Linked DNA regions of Drosophila melanogaster. The protein of the gene in region 2 interacts with the protein of the main gene of each other region in a pairwise test. Each region holds a gene or a part of one and is shown on either strand. Other genes may lie near its edges. The genes, in order: Zif, Hakai, CG7763 and obst-B.

Region 1 (4,203 bases), on a different chromosome or scaffold from region 2:
ACCCGTAATCAAATACAAAGCCCCAGGGGCCGAAAGGCTTTACCAGTCCATAAGAACATTTTTTGTTTCCGCTAAAATGATGATATGATACACGGGGGAGTTCAAAAAAGGAGACAAGCGGCCAATGAAAAAAAAAAACGCATTCAAGTCATGTAATTTCGGAACTTCCTTTGATATTGTACATTTGTTGGTGCTTTGCATGCGCTAGGTGCAAATTGGGTTTTTTCCAATTTCATTTTATATACCCACGGCGTCATGAAGCCACCCATATTTATTGCATAATTTTCAGCATAGCTTCCCGCGCACACACATTGCGAACATTGATTGTGGAAATAACTACGGCCAGTTGTGACTTTTACCAACTAGCGTACAACTAGATTGCCAGATTTTCTCGGGCGTGTTACATTTCAAATTGTATTGTATTGTATTGTATGTATTCAAATTATCAAATAAATTAATTTTATGAACCAAATTCCACATGCTGCTAAAACATCACATACGTTTGATATTCTATTTTTAACAAAAATAACCTTTATTTACGTATGAAGTTCATTCTTACAACTATGAATACGCTATCCGTTAGCGTTTAAGCTAGTATTACTGATTATAAGGGATTATATCTGGAAATAAGACAGTATACTCTACTGAATTTGATTGCGTCAGTGAGCTTGAATTCGGATCTCGTTCCCGCCCCCCTGCTCGGCCACCATTTCCACCTTCATGCTCTCGGCCAGCATTACGGCGTTCTGGTGCAGTTTGGTCTCCTCGTGCTGGCGCATGTGATGCAGCAGACGGAAGTCCTTGTTGCAATAATCGCAGCGGTACAGTTTGATGTCCGAGTGGATGAGCTCGTGCTTGGTCAGGGAGTGAGCGTAGGCAAACGCTTTGTCGCACACCTTGCACACGTAGGGCTTGATGCCACGGTGAACACTGATCGGAAAAAGAAAAGTTAGTTATCTCTGTCCCGAACTAGGAATATATTTAAATGGCCCATTTTGAGGCCTCTCCGTGAGAATAACATTTCTACTCACTTTTCATGAGACTTGAGAACACTTTCGTAGAAGAATTGACGACTGCAGAAGCTGCACTTATAGGGTTTGCTGCCCGTGTGGGAGTACATGTGCTTCCTCAGTTGCTCGCGCACCTGGAACTTGGCATCGCATAGTCTGTGAAGGCGGGATTAGGGTTATCGCTTTAATATGAAATTTACCGACTCGACTTACTCGCATGCATATTGGCAGATGCCGTCATGGCGTCTGCGATGCTCCATCATCCGGCCGCGCTTTTCGTAAAAGTTTCCGCAGACGTCGCAGATATAGCCACCCTTCTCAGTGCCGTCCGATGTTGTTAGGGAGTTTAATCCGCGACGAACCCGGCCGCGCCGCGCCTTCAGGCTTGCCTTGGCCGCCTCCTGCAGCGCCAACTGCTGCGATGGTGTCTCTTCGTACTGCTTCTCAGACTCCAGGACGATCTCGGTCTGATCGGAGTTCATCTCGATGGTGTAGTTGTCCTCCAAGTACTCGATGGTGTCGCCAATGCACTCCTGCTGATCGCTGGTGTCCACTTCCAAGTACTCCTCGTGCCCCTTTTCTTCCTGGTGCTCCTCTTCCCCGGTGGTGGTCTCCTCCAGGATGTACATCTCCTCGTCGCATTGCTGCTGCGAGCCGTCCTCCTCCTTGATCATCATCACATCTGATTCGTCCAGCAAGCCCAGTTCCCGGCAGTACTCCTCAATCTCCATCTGCTTGCGCAGCGCCTTCTCGCGAAACTGGTAGGCCATGTTGAGTTCGACCTTGCAGGACTTGCAGATGCCATCGGGTATGTGTTCTCTGTCGTTCAGCTGCATGAGGGATGGATGGATGAATGGTCAGTTCGCATTGCCAGCTCTAGCGATTCACTTACATTGCTGTATGAGACTCCCAAAAGTTGAATCAACATCTCGTTCGGCGATTCCTCGCCTTCCTCGCGGATCTCGTCTAGGCGCTGCAGTCGCTCACTCTGCGCCAGGCAGACCCGGCACGTCTGTGGGGTAAGCTCGACGCGCATTCTGGAATCCTGCTCGAAATTTAATTTAAAGAACCGCTCGCGTAGTATTGTAGTGTTAAAATTTGTGTTGCTAAAGTGTTGTGTAAAGCGACTGAAAAAAGAAACGAAAAGACATCGCCATTTTCCTTACCAGGGCTGCATAGCATCGGCGAACACGATGTGGTTCATTTTGCTGGTTCCGGGAAGCGGATTTTTGGTTAAATATCTGATAAACATGTTTGCTGCTTGTGACAATACATTGGAAATATTTGTTCCTTTAACCATGGCTAAACGATATGATATGATAACTGAAAGTATTCCCCAGTGTGCCTATAAACACAAACAACTTGTAAAATGAGAAAGAAAATATTAATACTTCAAATATTCAAATATTATGAAAACAATTATATATATATTTATATATTTCTTTCATATTTACGTATATTTAGATAGAGTAAAGAATTCAATCATAAAAATACCAACGTCTTACATTAAATATTATTTAAAAAAAGGCCTAATGCGCTTAAATTTGCCTTATCAATAGAAAATATTATGTCCAATACTGACAATACATCTCACCAAAGATTTAATTTAGCTAGGAACCAGTTCTCTATGGCTCATTTTTTTGACCAGTGGCGATAACGATGACAGCAAGATCACTAAAAGACTAGCGTTGCATGTTTATCATATACAAGCTAACATTGCGTAAGGTGAATCTGCAAATTATATACAAATTATTAGTAATTTACTCATTTATTTATGCGAAATCGCAAATACAACACCGTGTTTACATCCGAAAGCTCTGGCAAAAAAAGCACATTTCTTAATGCAGCCGTCTGGCAACGCCACATATTTTTCGAGACGCAGAACGCAAGATATTTTCTTATCTCTCGTTAAAAAATGGATTATTTCGGTTCAATCGGTGCGTATCTGGGAAAATCGCATGCTCGTTGGCAGTAAAGAACGCCACGCACTTTCACGTCCCACGCCCAGCGCACTCCCGCCTGACGGGAAAATGGGAAAGCAACTATATCTGGCATCCGTATCTTCGTCCGTCGCAGCCGTCAAAATGTTCGTCGCGCCAGTTATCGACTCGGCAATCTCCATCTCCTAAGGCACACACACACTCAATAGAACGCAGTCCAGCACTCACACAGGCAGCCACCTACGTAACCTGGCAGCGGAAGCGCCCTTAATCTTGGCCAGAAACCACAGCAGGCAGAAAACAACGAGGGAGCAGCAGCAGGCGGAGGGAAACGGAGGCGCCGCTAGCACTAGCACCTAACATGTCCGAGAAGCACGGCCAGCTGGGTGCGCAGTGGACGAAATCAGCGGCGCCAGCAGCAACAACAGCACCAGTCTCCAATTCCATTCCCATACCTCAACCGATCCCTGTGGCACTACCCCTCCAGAAACCCAACGCCAATCCCTATGGGAACTGCAGCCTACAGCCCGCGGATATAGTCTACAGCGCAACCAGATTTCAAGGACCTGCTATCCATGCAAAGGGCTCTCCTTTGACCATTACGCCCGTGGGCCCTGTCGGCGGAGCACCTGCCTCTGCCCAGATCTCGCCCACGAGTCACACCCATGTACCTGTACCTGTAGCCACGCCCAGCGGCTTTGTGCCGCCTCCGTTTTCCAATGCCACCAGCGCCAGTGGAGGTGTCTCCACTTCCGTACTTACTCCGAATCCCTTTGCCACGGCGAGTGCAAATGCTGCTGGCCTGGCCTTTGCCAATGCCTTCAGCTTTAGCACAGCCCAGCAACTGGGTCTGGGCAAGATCATGCACGCTATGGGCGGAGCTACTGCGGGAGTGCCATCGGCGCCAGTACCAGTCACCACGACTCCAGCGACAGCTGCTCCTTCGACCCCAACAATAGCTGGTCCACGGCATCCGAACGAGGGCGTTCCAGCGGCCAGTGGAGTGATAAACTCCACCATTGCTGAAAACGTAATGAATGCTTTGAGCAACTCCAACTCAGCGGGATCAGTTCCCAGTGAGGAGAAGATGAGAAGGGTGCTGCAGGTGATTGAGACCAGCTTGGAGTAAGTGTTGTTTGAAGAATCCTATGTTTATCCTTGCTAATTTGTGTGCGTCTTCCCGTTCAGCGACAATGCGAAGCTGCAGATTTCACAGATTCTAGAGCGTGTCTCGGGACTAAAGCCCATTGAGA
Region 2 (4,050 bases):
GATGAGTACAATTTTCATCATTTTTCTGGCGCAACTTTCACTTTTGCTCGCCAACTTCTTTCACAACCGCTGCTTCTCCTGCTGCTTCTGCTTGTGGCCTCGATTTCCTAAGTTCTACGCTGTGCTCATCAGATACTGGATGTGGTTGTGTTCACCCTGGGCCCTGCCACTTGACTCCGGCACTGCGGCCTGTTGTGTTTATGCTAATGCTCCATTCGAAGTCTGTGCTCCAAGTCGCATTTGTTTACCTTTTGTATTTCGCTGGAACAGCAACCAGCTGGAGCGTATCGTCATCGATAGGCGGCCAATCGAGCGGGCTTTTTGAATTTCATTCAGCTCGAGTGGAAACCGTACCGTCATCGATTGGCCGCCAATCGGGCGGGATTTTTGAATTTCGTTCAGCTTGAGAACCGCAAAGGTATTCATAAAATTGTTATCCTGATTTGTTCGCCACGATAACCACTTCACTACTACATTAAGAATTAAGTTTAGCCCAAGCTTTAAAACCGGAGTAGCATTTATTTTTTGGTTCGGGTTGGCCTAACCCCGTAAAATATCTTTAATAGTGTTCAGTTCAGCTTAACATACACTTGTTCACTTAATTAAAAGCCTGCGTGCCTGCGTTAAAGCGTCTACCCTGGTTACTAGCCCCTCGCTTTCGTCCCCCTATCTGTAGTATTGCGACTGCTGCCAGTTGCCACTCGAGCCACCAGTTGGCGCGTCGGTGGAGCCTCCAATCAGGGCACCTGGGCCAACAGCGGAATGGCTGCCACTCGGATTGGCGGGCTGTGCTGCTGCTGTTGCCCCACCGCCGGGTGGCCCAGAACCCGGATTCCCGGCCGCACTGCCAAAGGAGGCGAGCACGCTGCTGTAGTAGGAGGCATCCGCCACCGACTCGGACTGGTGGGGCGTGCCCTTCTTGAGCGTGTGGTGCAGCGAGGCCTTGCCCTGGTGACATTCCTGCGCATTGGCATTGTTGATCCTGGTCAAATTGGCCAGCGTGAGCGTCGAGTGGCCGCCGTGGATGGCGTTTTGGGCGGCGGCGGCGGATCCTGGTGGCGGTATACTACCAATACTACCGATGTTACCGACACCGCCGGTCAGTGGCAGCCGCGACAGGACGGGACGGGACGCAATGGAGGCGGAAACGGATATGGGGACAGACGACTCGGAGAGCTGCAAGGGGCAAGCGGTTGTTTTTTTATAGACAGGACAGCTTAGTTTAGGAGCCATAGCTACCACTCGCCTTGCGCTGCTTGTGCAACTCCAGGCCCAGACCGACGCCGCCCAGATCCGTCATTTTTGGCTGCTCCGCCATGGCTGACAGCTGCGGCTGTGGCTGCAACGGTGGCGGCTGCGGCGCCACATGTCTGTGATTGATGTGCGCCTGCAGGTCGCGTTGCGAAAGGTATGTTCTACGGCAGCCGGAGCTGCCGTAGCGACTGCCGCCGTGCGTGCACATGAACACGGTGCCCAGGCCACTCTGCTCCACGCGCAACACCTTGTCCGTGCAGCGGGGACAACTCTTGATGGGCTCGGCGCGGGCGCACTTGAGGCAAAATACATGCTTGCAGGGTATCATGCGGCCGTAGACGAGGATCGGCTTGTCGCACTGATCGCAGCAGTGGATCATCGGGTTCAGCACCTTCTCGCCGATCAGGCTCACCTTGTGGTTCCACTTAAGGCGCAGCATCGGCTCCGGCGGTCCGCGCGAAAGCGTGGTGAAAGTGGGCGCCTCCAGTTGCGATATGTCCGCCTCCATGTCGACTGCGCGGGCGAGAGATAGCGAGATAGCTTTGTTCAATGCTTCAAGTTTGGATACCAAGGAATTGGTCAAGCCAAGATGTTAATCAATTTAACTATCTTGGACAACCATTCAATAGGGGAGGAGACTCACTTGTTTGGCTCATCACGGGCGGTGGCACTTGCTGCAGGACCTGTGGCTGTTGCGTCGCTGGAGTCATGTTCCCGCTGGCGGCGACCGCTCCTAGCGCACCGTGCGGCAGGGGCTCCTCCAGAGCGCCGGGCGTTTCCAGTTCGCCGTCCTTGTCGAGCTCCTGCATGACCGAATCTTCGGAGGCGTCCAGTCTTCCCGGACTGTCCTCCAGGGCTGCACAGCTGCTGGCCGCCAGGGCTGCGGCGTCGGCGATGCTGCTGTCGTCGATTTTCTTGCCACGACCGCGTCCTCGGCCACGTCCGCGCCCGCGAGCCCTGGTGCCACGCCCTCGTCCGCGGCCGCGCTTCACTTCCTCGGTGTCCATTGTTCACTTGTACTTGCGTGGGATTTTATGCCGGTTTTTAAGTTTTTCGGTTTTTGTTTAGCTCCGCATTTGCGTTTGGCCAGGGTTGTCAGCTGTTCCCACATACGTGCAGTAACTTAGGGTGACCAGTCTGCGCCTAACAACACTGGCCATCAAAAGGTCCGGCATCACTGGTCAGTTTAAAATACAATATTTTTACTTGTTTAATTTTAATTTTATCTGTTTTTCAATTATTTTTAAACTAATTTGAATTTAATGAATGTAAAAAAAAACATAAAAAAAAACAATAATTATAAGCATCTATTTAACCGTTCTTGTATCATATTAATAGCTTACTAATTTCTTTTGTAGCTTCAACATGAAAAAACAAAAGTATTCTGAATAGAAAATGTGAGATCTACATTAAGATAACCTTAAAAACTTAATAATAATTAATAACAAGGTTTAAAATTAGTTTTTTCGTATATAAATTTGAATTTGTAAAATGTTTTTTTAATTACAATTAAATAGTTTTTATTACAAGTTATATTTTTATACTATGCTTTAAAAAAAATGATTTTTGGTATTTGTTGCCTAAAAATATCGTTTATCCCCTTTCCTTATGCTTTAAATTGCGCTCGAATTTATGCAATAACTGAGTTGAGTAGTTCTTCAGCTAGAAATCGGGGTCATTCACCTTGGGTGCAAGGTAGTATCGAATGTGGCCGTAATCCTCGATGGGATACTCCACCAGGAGTGGCCGCTCGTCGGACAGGTAGAGCTTGACGCGATCTGCCAGCGGAGTGGCCTTGGTGAAGGTGTTGAGGTAGCGACCGGCGAAGGACTGGGTCACGGGCTCCTGCACCTCAATGCTCACGTCCATGGCGGTGCCCGCACTCAGCTGAATGTTGGCCGTGCCCAGATCTCCCTTGGCCAAGAACCTGATGCCCTTCGAGGAGCAGGCGATCGTCAGGGACTCGTCGAACATGCTCATGTCCCGGCAAATGCGCGCGAACTCTGACGACGGCAACTGGATGAAGCAGGTGTAGTCCTTTTTCGGAATCTCCATGTGATCCTGGTCCAGATTGAGGAGCTTCAGCTCGTAGTCCGCCGTGCGCTCCTTGCCATCCGACTCGAAGCTGAGCGTAATCTTCTCCGGTCTGTCAACGGCCTTAATGGTGACCGCATCGTCGCTATTGGCGCACTTAAGCACCTTGCCCAGGGATTTCAGATCCAAGCCCAGCGAGACATTGCGATCGCAGTGAAACTTTTCAAAACAATCCGAAGCCAGACTTAGGGCCACCAGCGAAACGTGGGAGTTGTCCATCGATTGCAGCTGGAATATAGAGTTGTAAAAGCTTTATTTCTTATCTCAACTTTTCATTTTCAGTCCCAAGTCTCAATGGAACTACTTAACAGCTTTTATGGGAATTCGAAACAAAATGACAGATGGAGGGTTATTCTCTTCACCTCCAGACCATTTTCACTGCAGTCCAGCGTTCCCTGGGCGATGATTTCCTTTAGTGCATCGACGATCTTCTTCAGCAGCAAAGTCTGACTCAAACGCGCCTCGAGCATTTTTCCAATTTTCAAAATTGACAATCGCTGTCCCGTTAAATTCACAATTGGAAACAAACAAAATGAAGCCAGTCAGCTGTTTCGCTGCAAGTGTAGAGATGCCGGACTGCTGCGGAGTTAAGAACAAAGCTTGTTAGATTAGTTTCGGTTGCGGATTTAAGTTCATTTGATGTCTGATGATGAAGCTAGTGAACATAGATCTTAGAATTTGACTTAAAGCTGTAGGTTAATC
Region 3 (3,321 bases), on a different chromosome or scaffold from region 2:
TGGCCAAACCAACAGCCAGTGGCGCTGATCCCTTGATATCCTGGCGTCCAGGATCCGAAACAGCCTTGACCACGAAAACCAAAATAAAGGTGATCAGCGCTTCGATCAGCACCGCCTGTGCACAGTTCAGGGAGGGATCAAAGGAGGATACTCCCAGGTCGCCACCAGCCACTCCATCGAGTGCCACCTTTATCACAGCCGCTCCAGCAATGGCGCCCACGCATTGGACGATGATGTAGAAGGCAGCCTTCAGAATGCTGATCTCACCAACGATCAGGAATCCAAGGGTGACCGCCGGATTAATGTGACAGCCACTGAGGTGGCCCAAGCCCTGAGAGAGAGAACAAAATAAGAGGATATTCAAGAATATATTTATTATAAGGCTCAATAAAAGAGGAAAAAAAGTATGAAGATCAAATCAAGGAGGCTAAGGCCCAGTCGAACATAATGTAGATAATGGCCTATCTCCACCTCCATCGGCGCTTGCAAATGTCGAGTTGACAACGCAACATCTTAACCATAGCTGCGCTCAAAGTTTGCCCTTTGCCATGAAGCTGATTGTGCGATTTTCCGAATTTTCCATTGCACAATATCGTTGCATATCGAACTGCCAGCGGATACAAGCAATTTGTCAGACGTGAGATGCACTCGAGTGCATTTATTGTGTTTAGCGTGTCTGCAAAGTTCAGGTGGAGCTGGCTGGGAAGTAAAAGTGATTCGGGGTTCTGTTGAGTCATTGCCCGTGAAGAGATCACATGGAATCACTTAAATGGAAATCGCATTGGATCGGATCGCCTCGCATCGCATCGCATCGTATTGGATTGGATTGGATTGGATCAAGTGTTATGAATGGAGCCCGAAATGCACTGTTCACTCTGCGCCCAAGGTCGATGTGCAGGCTTCTATGTTTGATATCTCTTTCCAGCCGTGTTTCTCTACGTTTTGGTGATACGAATTCGATTTCGATATGGATTTCGCGGTTCGCAGTTCGCATTGGACGCACGGCCAATGTCGTGCGTCGCTGTGCGTTTAATTAATAAATGCGCAAAAAAGAAAAAAACAAAAAAAAATGCCCGTGTGTTGGCTGTTCGGCCACAAAACGCTAATTACAAATGCCGCCAAGAGCAAGTTCGAGTCGCGTTTTGCGGCCCAAACGGCAATAGGCCACAAATCCGAGCAGCCACTACAACTCGAACAACTTCTTGACATTTTGGTTATGCGCATGCGTGCAGCGCAATTTCGACTTCGTCTATACTAAGACTAAGTTGCCGCCTTTGCTGCCGCCACTCAGCCTGACCTAATCGTTTGGATCTAAAGCTTTTAGCCACAATAGTTTAGGCCTATTGTTCTCGACTCAATGCCTCCACTCGTCTTAGCTGCACACACTCGAAGAGTCGTGAAATTAATCAAATTTATTGTCGAGCCCGAAACCCATAATTAAATTTAATATATGCAACGAAAGCAATCGAGATCGACAGACCGGCTGCGTGTGAAAACCGCGAATGACGGACTGACTGAACTTAGACGTGAGTCATCGATGAAATATGGCTCTAATCGAGTTAGGCCTATGTGATTACGCTACGAGTTTATTACGCATTTCGAATGGGTTAATTACACTATGTGACTTTTTAGTTCTAAGCCGATCTAATTAAAAAATGTTAAATATATTTTTAATTTTTATGAATTATGAATTGCATTATGTTTTTCTGTGTATGCAGATAACTATACCCACATGCTGTGCAGAGCGATAAGTCGTACATAGTACCTATCTCTTATCATCATGCAGCGTCAGATTTTCTGTTTCTTTCTTTATTGGATTTCTTTCTAATATACTTGGTTTCGAAGCATTTAAGTCAGTCTGTTTTTGGCACTCGGATTTAAAAGATCTCAGAATCGCAGCAATGCAAAAATCTATTATATTTTTGGTACTCCCGTTGTGTCTGAGTTCAAGTTATTCAGCAGCCTGCGAGGTGAGTGAAGTAGAGAAGTGGTTTAGAAATGCTAAATATTTACATTCACATATCTTCTTAGGGCGTTGAAAGCGATTCCCAATGTGCTGCATATTGCTACGGTGTCTTGAATCCCTGCATCGCGAGCATGGGCAATTTGCAACGAAGGGTTGAAGCCTGTGAAGCAGCTGTTGCAATAGCGAGAATAGCCCTAAATGACCGAAGACTGGACAATTTTGGCACTTCAACGAACTTGCAGCTGGAAAATCAAAATACTTCGCAACAACTGCTGACACACGGTACAGCAATGGGCAGAAAACTGGAAGAAAACGAAATTTTCCAACAACTGGGAAGCAAATACTACTACATCGAAAAGGAAGAGAAGCTAAACTGGCACGATGCTTTGGATAAATGCCACAAAATGGGTGGCCATCTGGCCAGTCTGCAAAGTCAGGAGGAATTGGATAGATTCAATAACCAACTTAATGGCCTGAATCGCTACTGGATCGACGTGACCAATCAGTTCAACGAAAGTGAATTCGTTTCTGTGACCAAAGGATCGAAGGCCAATTTTTTGAGTTGGGCCGATGGGGAACCCACAAAAGATGGAGAGTGTGTGGATATCCGAACATTCAATGGGAAAACTACCATGAACGATAACTCATGTTTTGCCAATCTCTATTTTATTTGCGAAAAATCTATTGAAATATAATACAAAAATATTTATCTCTTTGAAGTTAATATTAGTTTTTGATATCTGACATTTACCACATGGTTTATGGAGGAAATAAGTATAATGTTTATTTCAAAACGAACAAGTTGGAATAAGACTTTATTTACGAATATACATATAATCCTATATGAATTGACCACTATTTCATTATTTTGTGTCAGCACTCTCCGTGCTCTCAAGGTTTTCCATTGGCTACAAAAAGTCTGGCAAGACTCTTCCCCCGATCGAGATATATAAGTTAAGAACCCTCTTCTTGCGCTCTTCGTCAGGACTCACCAGCGCTCGGCTCTCGTGTTTTCGGGCCCCGTCAGCAGGCGACTCGGGGCCTGTCTAGTAACATGTTCGTGTAAGTTACGAACCCTCTTCTTGCGATCTTCGTCAGGACTCACCAGCGCTCGGCTCTCGTGTTTTCGGGCCCCGTCAGCAGGCGACTCGGGGCCTGTCTAGGAACATGTTTGTGTATGTGTGCATTCGGAACAAGTGCCGTTGGTCGCACTCAGGGTGAGGGGTCAACGGGGGAAGCGGATATAAAAGCAGCGGGGCGGGAGAAGAGGCCCCAGTGTCGAACGGACACATAACGGAACCGCTAGCAGATCGCGAACTGAATCTTAAAATAAAGCTAATCGTAAACTCGAACCC
Region 4 (7,841 bases), 9.5 Mb from region 2:
TCGGCACTGAAATGGGATGTAGTTATTAGAATCCAAGAATAAAATTCCCAATAGTACTTTATATTAGGGATAACTATAGCTTACCAATCTGGCACCTTGCGTGCCCAGTCGCAGGTCTCCTTCTCCTCGTCGAAGACCTGGCCCAGTTTGCATCCGTTTCGCCTGGGCAGATCTCCGTTGACGCAGACGTAGAAGAACTGGCAATCGTTGGGATCGGCGTAGCGGGGATGTGTCACTGCGATGCTCTCGTTCACCTTGGGGCACTCAAAGTCGAAGACATCCTCCGACTTGCAGCCAGTGACGCCCACTTGGTCAGGCCAGCCACATATGCCCGTCTTGGGATTGAAGACCAGTCCAGCCGGGCAGGTAATCATATTGAACTGACCATCCACGCAAAAGTAGAACTTATCGCAGATGCCTGGCTTCTCGTGGCCAAAGTATCCATTCTTCCGGGGACAGTGAAGCGATGGCTGAGGTGTTTCTGCGATTGAACAATAGGGAAATTACAAATGGAATATTCCCTCTGTGCATCCTTGAGTTTCCCTCGCAAAAGGTATCTATCTATCTGTATGCTCGTAAAACCCTTTTTGCACATCCGTAAATACATTACTGCGCCAGCACAATGTACTAGACACACATTTATTCAGGTGCTGTATGCTTTGCGAACTATATGCATATATGCCATGGCAACGTTATATGTATGTATGTATGTATGTCAACAGGAGACAAAGGTAATTGAAATTGCTAATGGGCCTGCACAATGTGTACTAATTGCCTTGATGGGTGGCAAATAATTTATTTAAAAACTAAAACGTGCAGCAATATTTCATATTAAAAATGGTCACACAAAATGTGTGCGACTTTTTAAGTGAATAAGAAATTTTCTTAAATCCACTTGAACTAGCGCTAGTGCAAGAAACTCTCAACGTGAGAACTTTAATAAAAGTCCTTTGTCGAGAAGTTTGAAGGATGCTCTACTCCCACACACACACACGTGGCAGACCAAATTCGTGGCAAGTTTAAAACCGCGGGAAGCCAATTGCCATGGCATTGGGCTTAAAATTTTTTGGTGGCGCGACTCTGGCGTTGGGGAAATAATAAAATCACGAATAAAACTGAGTCTACTCAGGAGGCGAAAAATGAAAACAAAGCACCGCCAAGACCAAAGACCTATTGACGACAACAATTTGGGTTAACCGCTGCGCATGCCGTTTGCATAATAAATAAGTTAACAAAAAGCGCAGCCAAGAAGTAACGAGCAAATAAGTGCGAGCACGAAGCGCGTTTATTGCCCGATTCTTGGCCCAGAAGATGGAGGAGCATATATATGTATACTATATATATATATATAGGTGGGGTCTTGGGATTTGTGCGGTGCATACGTAAAGCGGTTCTTGCAAATTAAGGACTTATACTCACGTAGCTTGCTCCGCTTCATGCAGTCAATGTTGTAGGGCAGATCGCACTTCTCCTCGATGGGTGAGTAGTCATTGAAGACCATGCCATCGGCGCACAGTCGCTCCGTGGGCACACCATCCCTGCAAATGTGGTCAATGTGGCATTAAGCAACGGCCATTACTCATACGCCCCGTGGCCGGGTGTGTCTACTCCTTTTGGTCACTTACAGGCAGGCGTAGTACTTGTCGCACTGCTTGCTGTCCGGATAGAAGCCATTGGGCTCCGGGCACTCCTCGGTGGGCTCGTACTCCTTCTCCGCCGCCGTCTGTTTGCTCTTTGGCACCACCGATGCCTCCTGGACGGGATCACGGTTTCGGGGCGGCAGGTGGCGCTGCGAGGGCGGATGGCCAGGACCCACGCGAAACTGGCTGTTACTGCCACGGAAACCGCCTCTCGACTCCTGCGCCTTGGTTGCGGTCAGACCTGCAGACCAGAAGATAGTTGAGATATACACATGTTAACTCAGTCCATACATAAATAACACACACACACACAAAATGTCCTTGCTTGCAGTTTTAATCTACTTTGCTGATGGAAACTCTCTGCAATGGCCAGTTTATGAAATAGCACACATTGCTGTTATCAACTTAAATATAAATCAAACTTTAAACTGTGTTTAACCTTTTTCTACATTTAATTCGATAGTTTCGTTATTAAATTGCAGCAAAGCCCCACAGTTTCGCACAATTATTCTTATACCATTCGGCAATAAAATGCTAAGCTAATCTATTAAACAAAATGCGCCTAATCGAGTGTGAATTTTAACAACATTTCTCATGTTCATTTGTCACAAGTGCAAACACTTTGCTAAGCTTGTGAATTTATTTGCAGGATCTAATCTAGTTGAAGCTTTTGACAATGCTACTCTGTTGATTGTTTTAGAAAGAGTAATTGATTTTTAGATTGCTTTCGCATATTAAGCAATGTAATGGCGGTAAACTTTTGAAACTCAAGATATATTTTGATTTCATGACTAGGATATTGTAAGATTAGATTAGGATTAGAAATTCCCAAACCACTGATCCATGGTTCCTGCAATTTACCTACTCTAAAGTGATTGTAATAACTTCTCAGCATTTTTTTTCCAAGTGTATCTTGCACGTTTTTGCCTTTTGTTTTTTGCCCAACGTTTCCACTATGTTTGCGTGAAAACCCGTTTGCGGCAACTCAACAAATAGCAACCGATATGTATATGAGTTGTCGCTTTGCGATTGCGACACAGGCCACTGGATTGGAGCGACCTTAAAAGTGAAAGTCTCTCGGGTATTACAAAGCCCGGTTTTGGATCCACAAACAGCTGATCTAAGCCGCCGAGCAGCTGATGCCAAAGCACAGCCTTGAAAACTCAGTATCAATTAGCATTTCCTGCAAGTTGCAAGAAATTTTTCAAGATATGCGACATGCAGCAAATGCATCCAGTTAACATGGTGGAGCTCTCCTCAAGGTAAACCACTTCAATCAGACCGAGCAAAATTGCAAAAAAAATATATATATACATATATATACTTTATATATGTAGATACGTAAAAAGCCAAGCGATACAAGAGAAACAAGAAAAGACGATTTCAATTTTCGTTTGGCAGCCGCAGTGAACATCAACAATGCCGCCAGCAAGTTGCTGATGCTGACGTCGCTCGGCTGACATTCGATTAAACGTTAATAAAGAAACAATTCCACACAGCAATTAGTGCGTGAAGTGTCGGCCAACATTTAAGCCAACAACACCAAGTTGCTGCTGCTGCTGCTGCTGCAAGTGTTGGGTGTTGCAGCTGTCGCTTGTCATTGAAACATGTTTCGTACACGAACCGGGATCTGGTGAAAAACCAAAAAAAAGAAAATATATATACCCAACCCAAACAAGAAGCTGGAAAAGAAAAAGTCACGAAAGCTTCATAGTTCAGTTGGCAAATACTCTTGCGCAGGAGGAGTTCAATGAAAGACACTCTCAAAACAAAGAAATTGCATAAACAACTGTATGAACATGCCTCTAATATTATTAATTGATTTTTAATTTTATAAATTCACACCTATTCGAGAGCTATCAAATTGAAAGCATCGTTTTTTCACCGACTAAAGTTAAACCAAACCAAATGCATAATTGCATTATTGTAAAACTTTTTTTTCGAGCTGGCTATTCGGCTTAATTTTAGCACTTTAAATGAAAATCGAAGTCCTAATTAATTAAATAATTGTAGATTTTAACAGACATTATTGTTAGCTGATTCGGTTAGTTGCGTTAAATTTCAACTAAATGAACATTCAAACTATTCAATGGCTTAAATTTAAACTATGGACCACTTGCAGCCTTTAAATAGCAAAGCAAAGCAGACTAAATTTAGTTTCGAATAAAATGTGCCACAATATTTGTTCGATATGAAACAATGAATAATATTTATCCTTTCAAATATTCACTTTTTCCCAGCCATTCTTTAATAATTGCCTGAAATGGCTTTTCCCCCAAGGGCATTTCCCTTACGACCTGCTCCTGAATAGGTATTTTCCTTTCATTTTTATGACCCTCCGTTTTTTTTTTTTTTATTTCGCAGCCCGGCGAACGAGTCAAGCGAAGCGTGGCCTATGCGGTTTGGGCCTGGCTTTTTTCGACTCGTCAACTTGGTCGACTTGGTTGGGGGCCGTCGCGTCGCTCTGACAGTCTGTCAACAAGTTTGCCATGGAGTTTGCAGTCGCAGTAGGAATTGGAATTGGAATTGGTGTTGGAATTGGAGTTGGAGTCAACCGTTGTCAACAGACCCGGTTCAACCCGGTCCTGGACCGTTTGACTCGATTCCCAGTCCGGTTAGACTAGATTAATTGACTGCCGATTGCAAAGCAGACGGAGGAGTGAGTCGTGGCTACAATACGGTTTTTTTTTGGGAGCTTTGAATCTTTGGATTTTCGATTCCAGTCACACACGTCGTGGGTGTCGTGGCTGTCATCTTGGAAAAGTGCGTGCAGGCAGCGTGTTAGGTTCAATGAACATTAAATAGATTAAAAATAAACAGATTGTAAGCACTTTTTCATGTCATTCACTGAACTGATGCGAGATTGACAATAGAACCGACCGGTTTGTTAAATTAGATGTAAGAGATTTTTATAAAATAGGGGGTAAAAAGGTGTTCGTCTCGATAGGCAAACACACACATTATAAACTTTTCGTACAAACATGTTTACCATCAAATTAAAACTTTTCCTTTGTCTCAACGCGGTGAGTTTTTCCTCAATTAACTGGCAATTTAATTTGCTTTCAACCCCGGCGGCACCGAATTGCAATACATTTAATTATGAGCTGTTGCCATATTTTTGCCATAGACATTTTAATATAATTACCAAATTCAGCTTACGCCCCCCGAGTGCAACAGTTGCTCGCCTATCAATTTGTTTAATATGTATGTTTTTATGCCGGCGAGTTAACAATGTGCATTTTTAATGCCCCCGCACATTGGAGACAAACAAATTTTTAATGAGCTTTCACACAATAAATGAGCAGAAAATTTGCCAGCAAATTAAATTGCCGAATTTCCAATTGCAATTGGAATGCCAATGGGTTTGCAGCTGTAATTCCGATCCAATCACGAGAGAACGCTATAGGTGAGTATCTCGACTATCAGATACCTAGCGTTCGAGCTCACACGAGCTCCACCTAGCGGTAGTAACATAATCGCTCCCGTAAGTCTCCACTGTATTCTGTATAACTTAACATAACTTTTATATTTCCCGAGAGCATCGAATCTGGTATACCCTTTTTACTCAATGAGTAGCGTATGAGGGTATGAAAACCGAAAAACAAAAGTCATGCAAATTGGCAGCAACAACAACAGCAAGTGCTATATGCCATATATGCTACATGTGGCATTTACACGTGTTCTATGCCATCGAATCATCGGACAACAGTTGACATGATGAAAAGAGGGCCAGGATTGCAAACACTGCAGATATGCATAAACATGGGCGCCAATAATGTTAACAACAATATTTTTCAGCTTAGTTGCTGCAGCACTGTGCATTCTGCATTTGCATATGGTTGTTTGTCGCTATTATCCTGGTTGGTTCGTTTATTTGTTCGTTCGTTTGTTTGTTGCGTTGTTTGTAGTTAGGTTGGCCTGTGGGTTTGTTCCCGTTTGTTTGGGTGCGGCCAACAATTAGAGGCGATTGTTTTCGCCGAAAGCAGAAGAGCATTAAAGTCACGGCACATTATTCAAATAGAGTTTGCACAGGGACATTTTGCACGCCATGGTATTGACGTATCATTAATTGGCAAATGCAATTAAGAGCTTTTTCCACACTTACCCACGGCCAAAGCCAAAGCAAATATGCAGATTTTCACAAGCGCCATTTCGTTAGCCGACATAAACCTGCACGAACAGATAGATTATTATTTAAATATTTTAAATTGATATGCTTTCCGGCGGCACATTAAACGGCATTCAAGAGCAGCATTCCGCATTCCACATTCACTTGATTCACCATTCATCGTACTACACTCGCAGAAATCGGAACTCACCAAACTCGTACGTGCGCACGCGTCTACGTCTCGCTCTCAACTGTGCGATCGGATCGCTCGGGCAATGAGTTTTAACGCCCAGAAGTCTCCATCACCTTGTCTGCTTTCGCTCTGCTCCATTGGAACTGCAGTTAGATGGCTGCGCATGCGCAGTTTGGAGAGAAACCGGTCCGAGCTTTTTTCAAAAGCTTCAGACTCTTAATGTCAGATGGTTAAAGACGATGGTTAAAGACAATCGAACGCGATTGGTCATCGAAATTGTTTTCCAATGTGAGGTTTCAAGAACCAATCAACTTTTTAACAATTTAAAAACTATGAAAATGTAACTAAGAGCAGCTTGAGGAAACCCTAATAATCTTAAGTACTCAAAAACTAACAAAATCATTGTATATGAAATAAAAAAAGATAGTTTAAATATGTAACTATCTTGTTTAAAGAAGCAGCATCTTAATCAATACAACACAAAAGGCACTCAGAACTTTAATGAAAGGTAAATAAACTGCTTAGCCCGCACAGTCCTAATTAGTTAGTAAAAATAATCAAATTTTTAGTTGCGTAGGAAGGACAACTGTGGCCTAAACTAACCAAGGGATGCGCAAACAAAGGCAGGAAATGGAAATGCTAACTTTGCATAACATGGCCCAGTGAAGCCATGGCCCTCTGAACCATGCAGCAAACCAACATCAACTATGCGAATAAGCTGCAAACAAATGAGCGGCCTCCTCCATGTCCATGGAAAACATAACGATCGACATCGGCTGGCACGGGTTTTGCAGGATGGCAAAGTGCAAAGCCCACCGGATCCATGATATTCTACACCACAGAAAGTTTGTAACGAGCACATTGCCGCACGAGCAGTGCTGGCAAATTTGTCAAAAAAGGCGACAGGACGTGCTCCGATGTCGGCCAGGACATCGATGATTTGCATTTTTGAAATTAACCAAAAAATATGACAAAATTTCGGACACGTTTGCCCATGCAGGTGGCTGGCTCGTCCTGCTCCCACTCGTACTCCTCCTTTTCCTACTCCTGCTCCTGAATATTCCGAGCGAGCATTTGCTGCATCATTGTGCAGGCCCAAAACACATTTAACTTGTCAAAGTTGCGGCTCGCCTACTTGGAGTCGACTTTTCCGGAGCCGGAGCTTGTTTTCCAGCTGCTTGGTTTTCATCTGCCTGTCATTTCGTGTGCAATAATTGTGACAAATTGTTCTGTGCTGGAAAAATGCCTCGCCCTTTTCCTGAAAAATTTGTCCAAGAATTTGGTAGCAAACTTATGGCAGCTTTGTATGCAAAGTAAATGGCATAATTAAGTGAAATGACATACATGACGATAGAAATTTAACAAATGTTGCGTGCAAATGCAAATCACAATGGCCACAGTCAAGGCAAATGTCCCACGATTCATAATCCTGCGATAAGTCAGAAAAATAGCATCACCATTTCCCCGCGGGGCTTTAAAACATGGTTATTGTAACGCACAGCCCACAGTTGCTTAATAGCCCGCGGTCCGGGAGTCTCGAAAATTGGTGGGCGGAAATGGGGTGGAGGTTGGTGGTTTGGAGGATTGGAGGCCCTCAGAATGAAAATCGTTTAGCACAATTTCGGGCGCATTAGCGGCGATTACACAAAGAGCCCACACAGAGTTAAGGGCGCCGAATGTCGAGTGTAGAATGCGGAATGCACAATGCTAGGCAACAATGGCATAACAATCAAGAGTCAAATTAAAACGTTGCGCTTGCGGAAATTCCCGTTTTTTGTTCTCAGATCCCAGGTCCTTTACGCTCCACTGATGCGCTGTCCGTCCGAAATCCGCTGTCCGCTGTCCGCTGTCTGTGGTCCGTAGTCCTTGGTCCGTCCGGCGGATTAGTGGCGCAAAGTAT

Evidence for each region.
Region 1: the proteins of Hakai (region 2) and Zif interact in a two-hybrid assay, tested with the Drosophila melanogaster proteins (one large-scale study listed by BioGRID).
Region 3: the proteins of Hakai (region 2) and CG7763 interact in a two-hybrid assay, tested with the Drosophila melanogaster proteins (one large-scale study listed by BioGRID).
Region 4: the proteins of Hakai (region 2) and obst-B interact in a two-hybrid assay, tested with the Drosophila melanogaster proteins (one large-scale study listed by BioGRID).

What each region holds. Positions count from the first base shown.
Region 1 is NT_033777.3:6,455,130-6,459,332, reverse strand, and holds Zif (Zinc-finger protein), read right to left. Parts: upstream 2,246-4,203; 5' UTR 2,177-2,245; exon of another isoform or gene 2,117-2,176; 5' UTR 2,047-2,116; coding exon 1,903-2,046; intron 1,841-1,902; coding exon 1,224-1,840; intron 1,167-1,223; coding exon 1,032-1,166; intron 931-1,031; coding exon 660-930; 3' UTR 511-659; downstream 1-510. Other genes in the region: CG9727 (uncharacterized protein), read left to right, coding at 3,312-4,075, 4,139-4,203.
Region 2 is NT_033779.5:19,580,110-19,584,159, forward strand, and holds Hakai (hakai), read right to left. Parts: upstream 2,366-4,050; 5' UTR 2,262-2,365; coding exon 1,898-2,261; intron 1,795-1,897; coding exon 1,247-1,794; coding exon of another isoform or gene 1,223-1,246; exon of another isoform or gene 1,177-1,222; coding exon 667-1,176; 3' UTR 503-666; downstream 1-502. Other genes in the region: Pmvk (phosphomevalonate kinase), read right to left, coding at 1-21; PCNA2 (proliferating cell nuclear antigen 2), read right to left, coding at 2,917-3,576, 3,711-3,818.
Region 3 is NT_033778.4:11,412,655-11,415,975, forward strand, and holds CG7763 (uncharacterized protein), read left to right. Parts: upstream 1-1,855; 5' UTR 1,856-1,901; coding exon 1,902-1,970; intron 1,971-2,031; coding exon 2,032-2,661; 3' UTR 2,662-2,808; downstream 2,809-3,321. Other genes in the region: drip, read right to left, coding at 1-331.
Region 4 is NT_033779.5:10,030,858-10,038,698, reverse strand, and holds the start of obst-B (obstructor-B), read right to left. Parts: upstream 6,010-7,841; 5' UTR 5,960-6,009; intron 5,811-5,959; 5' UTR 5,807-5,810; coding exon 5,746-5,806; intron 1,882-5,745; coding exon 1,626-1,881; intron 1,539-1,625; coding exon 1,420-1,538; intron 482-1,419; coding exon 85-481; intron 7-84; coding exon 1-6.